2 linked regions of the Saccharomyces cerevisiae S288C genome follow. The protein of the gene in region 2 binds, or shares a complex with, the protein of the main gene of each other region. Each region holds a gene or a part of one and is shown on either strand. Other genes may lie near its edges. A codon is read from its position in the direction of its gene.

The links.
Region 1: the proteins of GAL3 (region 2) and GAL80 are in contact, whole or in part, in a crystal structure (PDB 3V2U), measured with the Saccharomyces cerevisiae proteins. Residues at the interface, in NP_010292.1 of Saccharomyces cerevisiae: Lys81 (codon at 3,320), Asn82 (codon at 3,317), Lys98 (codon at 3,269), Phe99 (codon at 3,266), Asp100 (codon at 3,263), Leu103 (codon at 3,254), Ala109 (codon at 3,236), Ile110 (codon at 3,233), Asp111 (codon at 3,230), Pro112 (codon at 3,227), Ser113 (codon at 3,224), Val114 (codon at 3,221), Lys122 (codon at 3,197), Tyr200 (codon at 2,963), Asn257 (codon at 2,792), Glu260 (codon at 2,783), Thr264 (codon at 2,771), Glu298 (codon at 2,669), Thr350 (codon at 2,513), Thr366 (codon at 2,465), Leu370 (codon at 2,453), Thr371 (codon at 2,450), Thr372 (codon at 2,447), Phe373 (codon at 2,444), Pro374 (codon at 2,441), Val375 (codon at 2,438), Arg376 (codon at 2,435), Phe377 (codon at 2,432), Gln378 (codon at 2,429), Val379 (codon at 2,426); in NP_013661.1 of Saccharomyces cerevisiae: Tyr37 (codon at 3,266), Leu41 (codon at 3,278), Gln42 (codon at 3,281), Leu43 (codon at 3,284), Ser44 (codon at 3,287), Ser45 (codon at 3,290), Arg66 (codon at 3,353), Leu67 (codon at 3,356), Lys68 (codon at 3,359), Ser70 (codon at 3,365), Pro156 (codon at 3,623), Arg160 (codon at 3,635), Val318 (codon at 4,109), Tyr320 (codon at 4,115), Leu339 (codon at 4,172), Tyr343 (codon at 4,184), Asp344 (codon at 4,187), Lys347 (codon at 4,196), Glu348 (codon at 4,199), Ile349 (codon at 4,202), Met350 (codon at 4,205), Glu351 (codon at 4,208), Val352 (codon at 4,211), Tyr353 (codon at 4,214), His354 (codon at 4,217), Leu355 (codon at 4,220), Arg356 (codon at 4,223), Asn357 (codon at 4,226), Tyr358 (codon at 4,229), Arg367 (codon at 4,256).

Annotation. Positions count from the first base shown.
Region 1 is NC_001145.3:168,437-174,382, forward strand, and holds GAL80 (transcription regulator GAL80), read left to right. Parts: upstream 1-3,157; coding exon 3,158-4,465; downstream 4,466-5,946. Other genes in the region: YML053C (uncharacterized protein), read right to left, coding at 680-1,318; SUR7 (Sur7p), read left to right, coding at 1,966-2,874; AIM32 (Aim32p), read left to right, coding at 4,703-5,638; U2 snRNP complex subunit RSE1, read right to left, coding at 5,784-5,946. UniProt on the Saccharomyces cerevisiae protein: This protein is a negative regulator for the gene expression of the lactose/galactose metabolic genes. It binds to GAL4 and so blocks transcriptional activation by it, in the absence of an inducing sugar.
Region 2 is NC_001136.10:461,582-466,993, reverse strand, and holds GAL3 (transcriptional regulator GAL3), read right to left. Parts: upstream 3,561-5,412; coding exon 1,998-3,560; downstream 1-1,997. Other genes in the region: ATP-binding cassette transporter SNQ2, read right to left, coding at 1-1,075; YDR010C (uncharacterized protein), read left to right, coding at 1,611-1,943; phosphoribosylanthranilate isomerase TRP1, read right to left, coding at 4,478-5,152.

The DNA.
Region 1 (5,946 bases), on a different chromosome or scaffold from region 2:
TCCTCGAGGATTTAGGAATCCATAAAAGGGAATCTGCAATTCTACACAATTCTATAAATATTATTATCATCATTTTATATGTTAATATTCATTGATCCTATTACATTATCAATCCTTGCGTTTCAGCTTCCACTAATTTAGATGACTATTTCTCATCATTTGCGTCATCTTCTAACACCGTATATGATAATATACTAGTAACGTAAATACTAGTTAGTAGATGATAGTTGATTTTTATTCCAACACTTATATTCTATATATCCATAACATTGTCTACATATAATCCGAGAGGTTACGACAACATTCATATAATAAGGGTAGTACTGACACTTTATTTTGAAGTAAATCAAAATAGTCACTCTCGGTAGCCAAGTTGGTTTAAGGCGCAAGACTGTAATTTACCACTACGAAATCTTGAGATCGGGCGTTCGACTCGCCCCCGGGAGATATTTTTTTTCCCTTTTTCTCCAGGCCTAGTGAGGTTTGAGTTTTGAACGTTTTATAGATAGATGTAAGGTAGCCAGAATGAGCACTTAGCCTTTAAAGTAAATTGAGTAGAGATACGTAAACAGTCGTGATAAATATGTAATACATTGTATTATTTTAAATAGGTTAAATTTTCTTTTTTTTTTTTCCATTTCATTTTCATTTTCATTTCCTGCAGTTATTTTTTTTCTTATTAATCTATATCCATGTAATCGTTAGCGATATTGTTGTTAGTCAACGCGGCCATGGCAGTACCGGGTGCTTGTGATGCAATTATACTTTGGGATGGTAGAAGATGATACTGGTGTTGTATAATACTAGCACTTCCAGTAGGACTCGTGCCTGTTATGTCGCGATTAGTGTTACCGAAATAACCATGAATCATGTACTCTTCTGTTTCAGAATAAAATTCAGATTCGTTCAGTAAGCGGCTGTTCATAGTGTGGTGCATACTAACCGGTTTCAGGGGACATATTTCGATATTTTTTTTATAATGAATATTATTGTAGGTTGCAGTATTATTGCTGTTATTATGATTATGGTTATTATTATTATTATTGTTGTTGTTGTTGTTGTTGATGATGATGTTGTTGTTGTTGTTATTAAGATTAGCACACCCGGAACCGACCGAAAACTTTGTACTTACAGAATCTCGTTTTGTTCTCTTCGATCTTTGGTAGAAAGTGTGTGTATCAAACTCGAAATGGTCATTTTTTCTTTTATTCATGATCGTATCATTATTGGCGTCGCTGTTGTATGTAGTGGCGGCATTGCTACCGGAATTGCAATTGTTTGTTTGGAACGCAGTATTGTGTTCATAGTATGAGAGCATTTCACGCAGCACACTTGAGTCTTAAATTAATGAATAAAAGCAGCCAACCCCAAGAAAAAAGAGCCCTTATCTGTTTCTGTCGCAGTCCTATTGTATTCTTCCTAACTATATAATTTTGTCAAAATGAAAAATATAAAAAAAATAATAAAGTCAGCTGAGTGGTAAAGAGAAAGCAAAGGGAGAGAAAAATCGGTTACCCAGATGGATTAGGTTACCCAGATGTCATACGTGTATCATGATTTCTAGAAATTATTACCCTGTTTGGTACCATGACAACGGATATGGCAATCTTGCATTAAGTAAAATGTCTCTAATGGGACCGTGAAGGTACAAAACAGCAATGGTCTAGGTAGTGGCATTCGAAGCTTCGAAAGCGTGGCCTCGCCTCGAGCGTGAAGTCATATTTTCTCACTCTGCACTGCCGTGCTGTGCCATGTAGCCCACTGTATGCCTCTAGCACCCCAATCGGGAAAATTGTAAACATTAGCAGGTGTCGCCTCGAGGCCCCCGATACATTTTTCAACATCTCCTCGATACTTAAACAGCAAACAAACAAGCAACACCCACGCAAGAAGATTTATTAATACCTCTTGACTCCCGTAGATATTGAAGAGACTAAGTATAGTAACGCATATCCGCACAATACTATGGTTAAGGTCTGGAATATAGTACTACGTCTGGTAGTGTTGCTGTTTTTAGCAGGTAATACCTTGCTGTTAATTTTGATGATTATATCTGGTGCCACGGACCATTACCCCGTGAACAGATTCTATTGGGTGCAGGGCAATACAACAGGCATACCTAATGCTGGGGATGAAACACGTTGGACGTTTTGGGGCGCCTGTCTACAGGATAAAGACGGGTCGGATACCTGCACAAGCAATTTGGCACCTGCATACCCCATTTCCCCAGTAGATAACTTCAACACACACATCAATGTCCCTCACCAGTTTATTTCCAAAAGAGACGCTTTTTACTACCTGACTAGATTTTCATTTTGTTTCTTTTGGATTGCGCTTGCCTTTGTAGGTGTGTCGTTTATCCTTTACGTTTTGACTTGGTGCTCGAAGATGCTTTCAGAGATGGTGCTTATCCTCATGTCTTTTGGGTTTGTCTTCAATACGGCAGCCGTTGTCTTGCAAACGGCCGCCTCTGCCATGGCAAAGAATGCTTTCCATGACGATCATCGTAGTGCCCAATTGGGTGCCTCTATGATGGGTATGGCTTGGGCAAGTGTCTTTTTATGTATCGTGGAATTTATCCTGCTGGTCTTCTGGTCTGTTAGGGCAAGGTTGGCCTCTACTTACTCCATCGACAATTCAAGATACAGAACCTCCTCCAGATGGAATCCCTTCCATAGAGAGAAGGAGCAAGCAACTGACCCAATATTGACTGCCACTGGACCTGAAGACATGCAACAAAGTGCAAGCATAGTGGGGCCTTCTTCCAATGCTAATCCGGTCACTGCCACTGCTGCTACGGAAAACCAACCTAAAGGTATTAACTTCTTCACTATAAGAAAATCACACGAGCGCCCGGACGATGTCTCTGTTTAAATGGCGCAAGTTTTCCGCTTTGTAATATATATTTATACCCCTTTCTTCTCTCCCCTGCAATATAATAGTTTAATTCTAATATTAATAATATCCTATATTTTCTTCATTTACCGGCGCACTCTCGCCCGAACGACCTCAAAATGTCTGCTACATTCATAATAACCAAAAGCTCATAACTTTTTTTTTTGAACCTGAATATATATACATCACATATCACTGCTGGTCCTTGCCGACCAGCGTATACAATCTCGATAGTTGGTTTCCCGTTCTTTCCACTCCCGTCATGGACTACAACAAGAGATCTTCGGTCTCAACCGTGCCTAATGCAGCTCCCATAAGAGTCGGATTCGTCGGTCTCAACGCAGCCAAAGGATGGGCAATCAAGACACATTACCCCGCCATACTGCAACTATCGTCACAATTTCAAATCACTGCCTTATACAGTCCAAAAATTGAGACTTCTATTGCCACCATTCAGCGTCTAAAATTGAGTAATGCCACTGCTTTTCCCACTTTAGAGTCATTTGCATCATCTTCCACTATAGATATGATAGTGATAGCTATCCAAGTGGCCAGCCATTATGAAGTTGTTATGCCTCTCTTGGAATTCTCCAAAAATAATCCGAACCTCAAGTATCTTTTCGTAGAATGGGCCCTTGCATGTTCACTAGATCAAGCCGAATCCATTTATAAGGCTGCTGCTGAACGTGGGGTTCAAACCATCATCTCTTTACAAGGTCGTAAATCACCATATATTTTGAGAGCAAAAGAATTAATATCTCAAGGCTATATCGGCGACATTAATTCGATCGAGATTGCTGGAAATGGCGGTTGGTACGGCTACGAAAGGCCTGTTAAATCACCAAAATACATCTATGAAATCGGGAACGGTGTAGATCTGGTAACCACAACATTTGGTCACACAATCGATATTTTACAATACATGACAAGTTCGTACTTTTCCAGGATAAATGCAATGGTTTTCAATAATATTCCAGAGCAAGAGCTGATAGATGAGCGTGGTAACCGATTGGGCCAGCGAGTCCCAAAGACAGTACCGGATCATCTTTTATTCCAAGGCACATTGTTAAATGGCAATGTTCCAGTGTCATGCAGTTTCAAAGGTGGCAAACCTACCAAAAAATTTACCAAAAATTTGGTCATTGACATTCACGGTACCAAGGGAGATTTGAAACTTGAAGGCGATGCCGGCTTCGCAGAAATTTCAAATCTGGTCCTTTACTACAGTGGAACTAGAGCAAACGACTTCCCGCTAGCCAATGGACAACAAGCTCCTTTAGACCCGGGGTATGATGCAGGTAAAGAAATCATGGAAGTATATCATTTACGAAATTATAATGCCATTGTGGGTAATATTCATCGACTGTATCAATCTATCTCTGACTTCCACTTCAATACAAAGAAAATTCCTGAATTACCCTCACAATTTGTAATGCAAGGTTTCGATTTCGAAGGCTTTCCCACCTTGATGGATGCTCTGATATTACACAGGTTAATCGAGAGCGTTTATAAAAGTAACATGATGGGCTCCACATTAAACGTTAGCAATATCTCGCATTATAGTTTATAAAAGCATCTTGCCCTGTGCTTGGCCCCCAGTGCAGCGAACGTTATAAAAACGAATACTGAGTATATATCTATGTAAAACAACCATATCATTTCTTGTTCTGAACTTTGTTTACCTAACTAGTTTTAAATTTCCCTTTTTCGTGCATGCGGGTGTTCTTATTTATTAGCATACTACATTTGAAATATCAAATTTCCTTAGTAGAAAAGTGAGAGAAGGTGCACTGACACAAAAAATAAAATGCTACGTATAACTGTCAAAACTTTGCAGCAGCGGGCATCCTTCCATCATAGCTTCAAACATATTAGCGTTCCTGATCTTCATACCCGTGCTCAAAATGATCAAACAAACTGTTATTGCCAAGAAATAAACGCAAGGCTGCCTTCAAAAACTGATCCATTAGATCCTCATATCAAGCTTCCTCATAGAACGCCCAATTACAATAAGCATGTTTTGCTGTTATCACCGGGTGATAGGTTTGCTCAACCATGGAAGGTAGCATGGAATCATAATTTGGATACTAATACAAATCGGCCATATAATGCCATTAGTAAATTGCGCTCCCATTTAGGTGGTTCTCCAGGAATACTAATAAATGCGGTGCATTTGCAAAATGAATTTATTCCAAGGCCAAAACAACACGATGAATGGCTTTATTTTTTTGTTATTCCTGACATGAAGCTTTATGTAATTAAGGAAACGGACATCGAGGAATTTGCATCTTTTTTAGATGAAGGAGCTATTCAAGCACCAAAGCTATCCTTCCAGGATTATTTAAGCGGTAAGGCCAAGGCTTCCCAACAGGTTCATGAAGTGCATCATAGAAAGCTTACAAGGTTTCAGGGTGAAACTTTTCTAAGAGATTGGAACTTAGTCTGTGGGCATTATAAGAGAGATGCTAAGTGTGGAGAAATGGGACCCGACATAATTGCAGCATTTCAAGATGAAAAGCTTTTTCCTGAGAATAATCTAGCCTTAATTTCTCATATTGGGGGTCATATTTTTGCTGGTAATGTCATTTTCTATAAACTATTCGGCAGAGAAAAGATGCAAAACAAGCTGGATTCATTATGGTTTGGTAAAGTTTACCCACACAACTTGAAGCTGTTATGTGAAAACTTGGAAAACGGTAAAATCATCGACGAAATGTACAGAGGTGGCATATCGATGAATTAAAACGGTTTCCTTTTAAAACAGAAATAAAGATGAGGTGAAATTTTATATTTCTTATATTTAAAGCTATCATATATTCCTTGTACATATATTTATTAAGAAAATACATTAACACGCCTTTATACTTGGTATTATTACTGTAAAATCATTACATGTAATTTGTTCTGACTTCGTTGATTGTTTGAATTATATCCTCCACTTGTACACTCTTTAAATTTTTGGCCAAAAATTCCTGCTCATTCAAGGAAAGTCTCAGGAAATTTTCACATAAATCACCATCAATAACTTTACGTACAGGGGCATAATAGCTT
Region 2 (5,412 bases):
TCAATAAGTTTGTCATAATACGGATGGCTTTTGCGTATTCTAAGGCCGTAGACGCATCCAAACCTCTAGTGGCATTATCCCAACAGTAAATGGAACCTTTGGCTGCCAAAGCCTCGGCAATGGAAACACGCTTACGTTCACCACCAGATACACCTCTAACGAAATCGTTACCAACTTTGGTATTATAGGTATGCCTTAGACCGAAAATGGTTGCATATAAATCTCTTCTGGATGCAATGTATTCCTTTTTGGAAACGTTATTGACTCTGAGAGCAGGCGTTTTGCAGGCAATAGCGAAATCCAAAGTTTGCTTAACTGTTAAATAAGGGAAATGAACATCCAACTCACCATTGTAAATAACATCTGCTTTATATCGTTTCATCATTTCTTCTTGGGGAATACCATCATATGCTACTTCACCGGAAACACCACCGGCAAACTGATCTATTTCACCAGCTGTTACTTTTAAAAAGGAGGAACAACCAGCACCAGGCCTTCCAAGAACCAAAATCATTTCACCCGCTTCTGCCAGGGCATTGACATTGCTTATGATCTGTCTCATCTTTTGATGCCTCTTAGCCTTAATACCTTTAAAGATGGTCAACGGTAAACAAAGAATGTTACCAAAGGTAGCACCTTCTAGGGCACTCGCATCCACACCTTTAGCGCTTACGTCCTCTATGGTAACACCAGCCTTGCGGATATGGATGCCTTGCTCATCAGCGTCTCTTACAAAACTTTCAAAGATGGCATGGGCATCGAACCCATCGTCACTATCTGAATCCATATTAAAGGCACCGCTTCTCGTTGTATGACGGGATAGTGCATCTGCAAATGACTCCACTTTAGATACGACATCTGGCGCCATTTCAGACACAGTGGCACTAATCTGGCTCGCAGTGTCTCTTGCAGGTCCTGTCAGCATTTTTGTTAGTTTATCCGCCGGGGTATCGCTCTGCTCATCTTTGTCATGGGTTATGCCCGTAAATGATTCTTCTGAAGCTGCAAAAGAAGCGCTTGAGCTTCTAGCGACAGCATTATGAGAGCTATCTTGCGTGCTTTTGATATTGCTCATTGAATTCTCTTTACGTATTTTGGTAGCTGTGTTATTCTATCCACTTTTTTACTGCTTTCGGTCTTCGATATAGTTTTTCTTTTTTTATGTCTCTGCGGGTACGTCCGCTATACCTTCGTTTTCTCAGGGAGCTTGAACTCTAATCAATGGAAGGAGAAAATAATCAATGTTGAAGACGATGGATGCACTGAGAATGTAATGCACTGGTGATATAGTAACTCCTATATCCTACAGTGAGCTTTTTTTTTTTTGACCTCGCAACACTTCAACTTGAAAAACAAAAGATACAAATACACTAGGTTCGTATATATTGTTTTCGTTAGGTATTTATTTATCTACAAGCATATACAAGCATAAAAAGTGGTGAGGCGATAGCGGTGAGGGAGGGGCACTACTCATCATTTGTTTTATATGTTGATGTTGCGTAGTCACTATTAGTAATACCAATACCCAGCGGGGTTGCAGGGAATACAATGGAAAGACCTAAAGAAAATAGAAAACGGATTTAAACGGAAATGGGCGGACATTTAGTCATATGTGCGCGGAACCAGACGACTGGGAAAGGATCGAAAGGCATCCGCGGAAACTTAAAATAGCTCCGCGGATGCTAGATTTCTACGAGTCATACATAGTCTGGCGTGAAGGTAATTTTTTTTTATGTCTCCGTTCTTTTCCAAATGGGGTGATCCGTGGAGGGCGGTGCTTCTTTCGCGCCACTTCCTTGCCGTGGAAAAATGTGTACGGTTACCATGGTCACATAACCTCTGTGTGCGGAGCCACTCTGACTCGCATCAACCGGGCTATGGTTGCATCGGATGCTGGAATGGGTTCTATTGGACTCACCAACTTGTTTCTTTATAGAGTGTAAGAGGTATGAGTAAACTTTTAATATTTAAAGGTTGTTCCAAGAAGGTGTTTAGTGTTATTGTTCGTACAAACAAGTACCCAAGGCAGGCTTCGAAACTATAATTGCGTCTTTTAGTTCTTCATCTGTGAGATCCGGATATCTTACATTGTAGAATTTTTCGATTAGTGCTTTTCGTACCTGTTCCACGTTCCCATTAGCGCCACTAGGAACAAGGTGGATAGTGCAACCGCCCCAACCAGCGCCAGTGAGACGGGAGCCGAAAGAACCATTTGCTAGGGCAATCGAGCATATTTGATTGGTTTCTATGCACGAACATTCATAAAGTTTATCACAAGAGGCCTGGGACTCATTCATTAGTCGGCCAAAATCTGTAAAGAAATCTTCGTCCGTGTGAAAAGTGGCACTTGTCATCATTTTTAAAGCCTTAAGCACCCTTAAGGATTCGGAGTAAACGTGTTTAGCTCTTTGATATAGTTTCAAGACTTGGAAGCGGACGGGAAAAGTTGTCAGGTAATCTCTAGTGAACTCCTCACGTGAACAGTTTAGCGCCGTAGAGGCTTCATGTACAGTGAATCCGCTCTTTTTCCTCGAGAAAGATTCTTCTACCAATTGTAGCATCTTGAGTAAACGTTCAATACCAGTTCCGATATCTCCATTCCATGGTTGGGCTTGGTTTTCGTATCTGGCGTAGTAAGCATCCATAAAATCTCTTAGATTCCCTCTTTCTGAGTTAGAATTGTCCTTGTGAGATGGTAAGGCCACGCTGTATCTGGTCGCCAAGGCGTTGGCAGCAACTGTTACCTCTATTACTCTTAAATTGTAATTTGTAGGAGCAGTTTCGAATTTATTAGACTTTACAAGAGTATTGGCGATGACGAAACTGATTTCATGATTTTTCAATTGAGGAAACTTGAAAGGTGTGGCCTTTAGTTTTGGCCTAAACTCTACGTATAGAGCATGATCTTCTTCCCCATAAACAGACGTTGCTTGATCCATACCACCATTATTGACTCCAACATAGTGCTCAGCAACCGCTGTGATGCGGGTCAAGTCTTTTTTGGAAATATCAAAATTTTTTCCCATATTGGCTCTAATTGTGGCTAGTGCTGCCGCGCAAGTAAATGCAGATGAGAGTCCACCACCAGTAGGAATATCGCTCTGGCAAAAGATCTGCGCACCTACTAAGGGTGTATTATTAAATCTTTCCGGAGCAATTTTTTTCAAGTATGAATGTGCCACATGTAGTCCGCATTTAAAGTAATTCGACCATTCCGACACAGACGGATCTATGGCCATGTAGGAACCATCTAAAGGCAGATCAAACTTTCGCTGAGCAAATTTAGGGTCCGCATTTGTTAAGGTAATGGATGGATTTTTTTCGTCTAAAATTTTAACTGCGCAAAGCATATCCACATCAATGGCTAATGGCAAAACTGAAAAATCGCAATAATCTATATGCTCACCAATCAGATTTACTCTGCCAGGAGACCTAGCGATAAAATCAGGTTTGACATGGTATGTTTGGAAAAATGCATCTACAACCGCTAAATGTTTTTGTTCGAAAGACCTTGGTAAATCTCTGACCGGAGAACTGAATATTGGAACGTTTGTATTCATACTATGTGTTGCCCTACCTTTTTACTTTTATTTTCTCTTTTTGCACTCCTGATTCCGCTAATAGGAAGTATGAATACCTGGGGTTGTCAATGTGGTAACAAAGGTGTTGCCTCACTTGTCGCTTATGATGATTATATACGTTTCAGTAAAAATTTTACTGCCTATGTGTTGCAGGCGGTCAATCAATTGCATAAAAGACCGTGTGATGGCTTGGCATGGCGATTTCATTCTTTCAAGAATTCCACATGTTAAAATAGTGAAGGAGCATGTTCGGCACACAGTGGACCGAACGTGGGGTAAGTGCACTAGGGTCCGGTTAAACGGATCTCGCATTGATGAGGCAACGCTAATTATCAACATATAGATTGTTATCTATCTGCATGAACACGAAATCTTTACTTGACGACTTGAGGCTGATGGTGTTTATGCAAAGAAACCACTGTGTTTAATATGTGTCACTGTTTGATATTACTGTCAGCGTAGAAGATAATAGTAAAAGCGGTTAATAAGTGTATTTGAGATAAGTGTGATAAAGTTTTTACAGCGAAAAGACGATAAATACAAGAAAATGATTACGAGGATACGGAGAGAGGTATGTACATGTGTATTTATATACTAAGCTGCCGGCGGTTGTTTGCAAGACCGAGAAAAGGCTAGCAAGAATCGGGTCATTGTAGCGTATGCGCCTGTGAACATTCTCTTCAACAAGTTTGATTCCATTGCGGTGAAATGGTAAAAGTCAACCCCCTGCGATGTATATTTTCCTGTACAATCAATCAAAAAGCCAAATGATTTAGCATTATCTTTACATCTTGTTATTTTACAGATTTTATGTTTAGATCTTTTATGCTTGCTTTTCAAAAGGCCTGCAGGCAAGTGCACAAACAATACTTAAATAAATACTACTCAGTAATAACCTATTTCTTAGCATTTTTGACGAAATTTGCTATTTTGTTAGAGTCTTTTACACCATTTGTCTCCACACCTCCGCTTACATCAACACCAATAACGCCATTTAATCTAAGCGCATCACCAACATTTTCTGGCGTCAGTCCACCAGCTAACATAAAATGTAAGCTTTCGGGGCTCTCTTGCCTTCCAACCCAGTCAGAAATCGAGTTCCAATCCAAAAGTTCACCTGTCCCACCTGCTTCTGAATCAAACAAGGGAATAAACGAATGAGGTTTCTGTGAAGCTGCACTGAGTAGTATGTTGCAGTCTTTTGGAAATACGAGTCTTTTAATAACTGGCAAACCGAGGAACTCTTGGTATTCTTGCCACGACTCATCTCCATGCAGTTGGACGATATCAATGCCGTAATCATTGACCAGAGCCAAAACATCCTCCTTAGGTTGATTACGAAACACGCCAACCAAGTATTTCGGAGTGCCTGAACTATTTTTATATGCTTTTACAAGACTTGAAATTTTCCTTGCAATAACCGGGTCAATTGTTCTCTTTCTATTGGGCACACATATAATACCCAGCAAGTCAGCATCGGAATCTAGAGCACATTCTGCGGCCTCTGTGCTCTGCAAGCCGCAAACTTTCACCAATGGACCAGAACTACCTGTGAAATTAATAACAGACATACTCCAAGCTGCCTTTGTGTGCTTAATCACGTATACTCACGTGCTCAATAGTCACCAATGCCCTCCCTCTTGGCCCTCTCCTTTTCTTTTTTCGACCGAATTCTTAATCGGCAAAAAAAGAAAAGCTCCGGATCAAGATTGTACGTAAGGTGACAAGCTATTTTTCAATAAAGAATATCTTCCACTACTGCCATCTGGCGTCATAACTGCAAAGTACACATATATTACGATGCTGTTCTATTAAATGCTTCCTATATTAT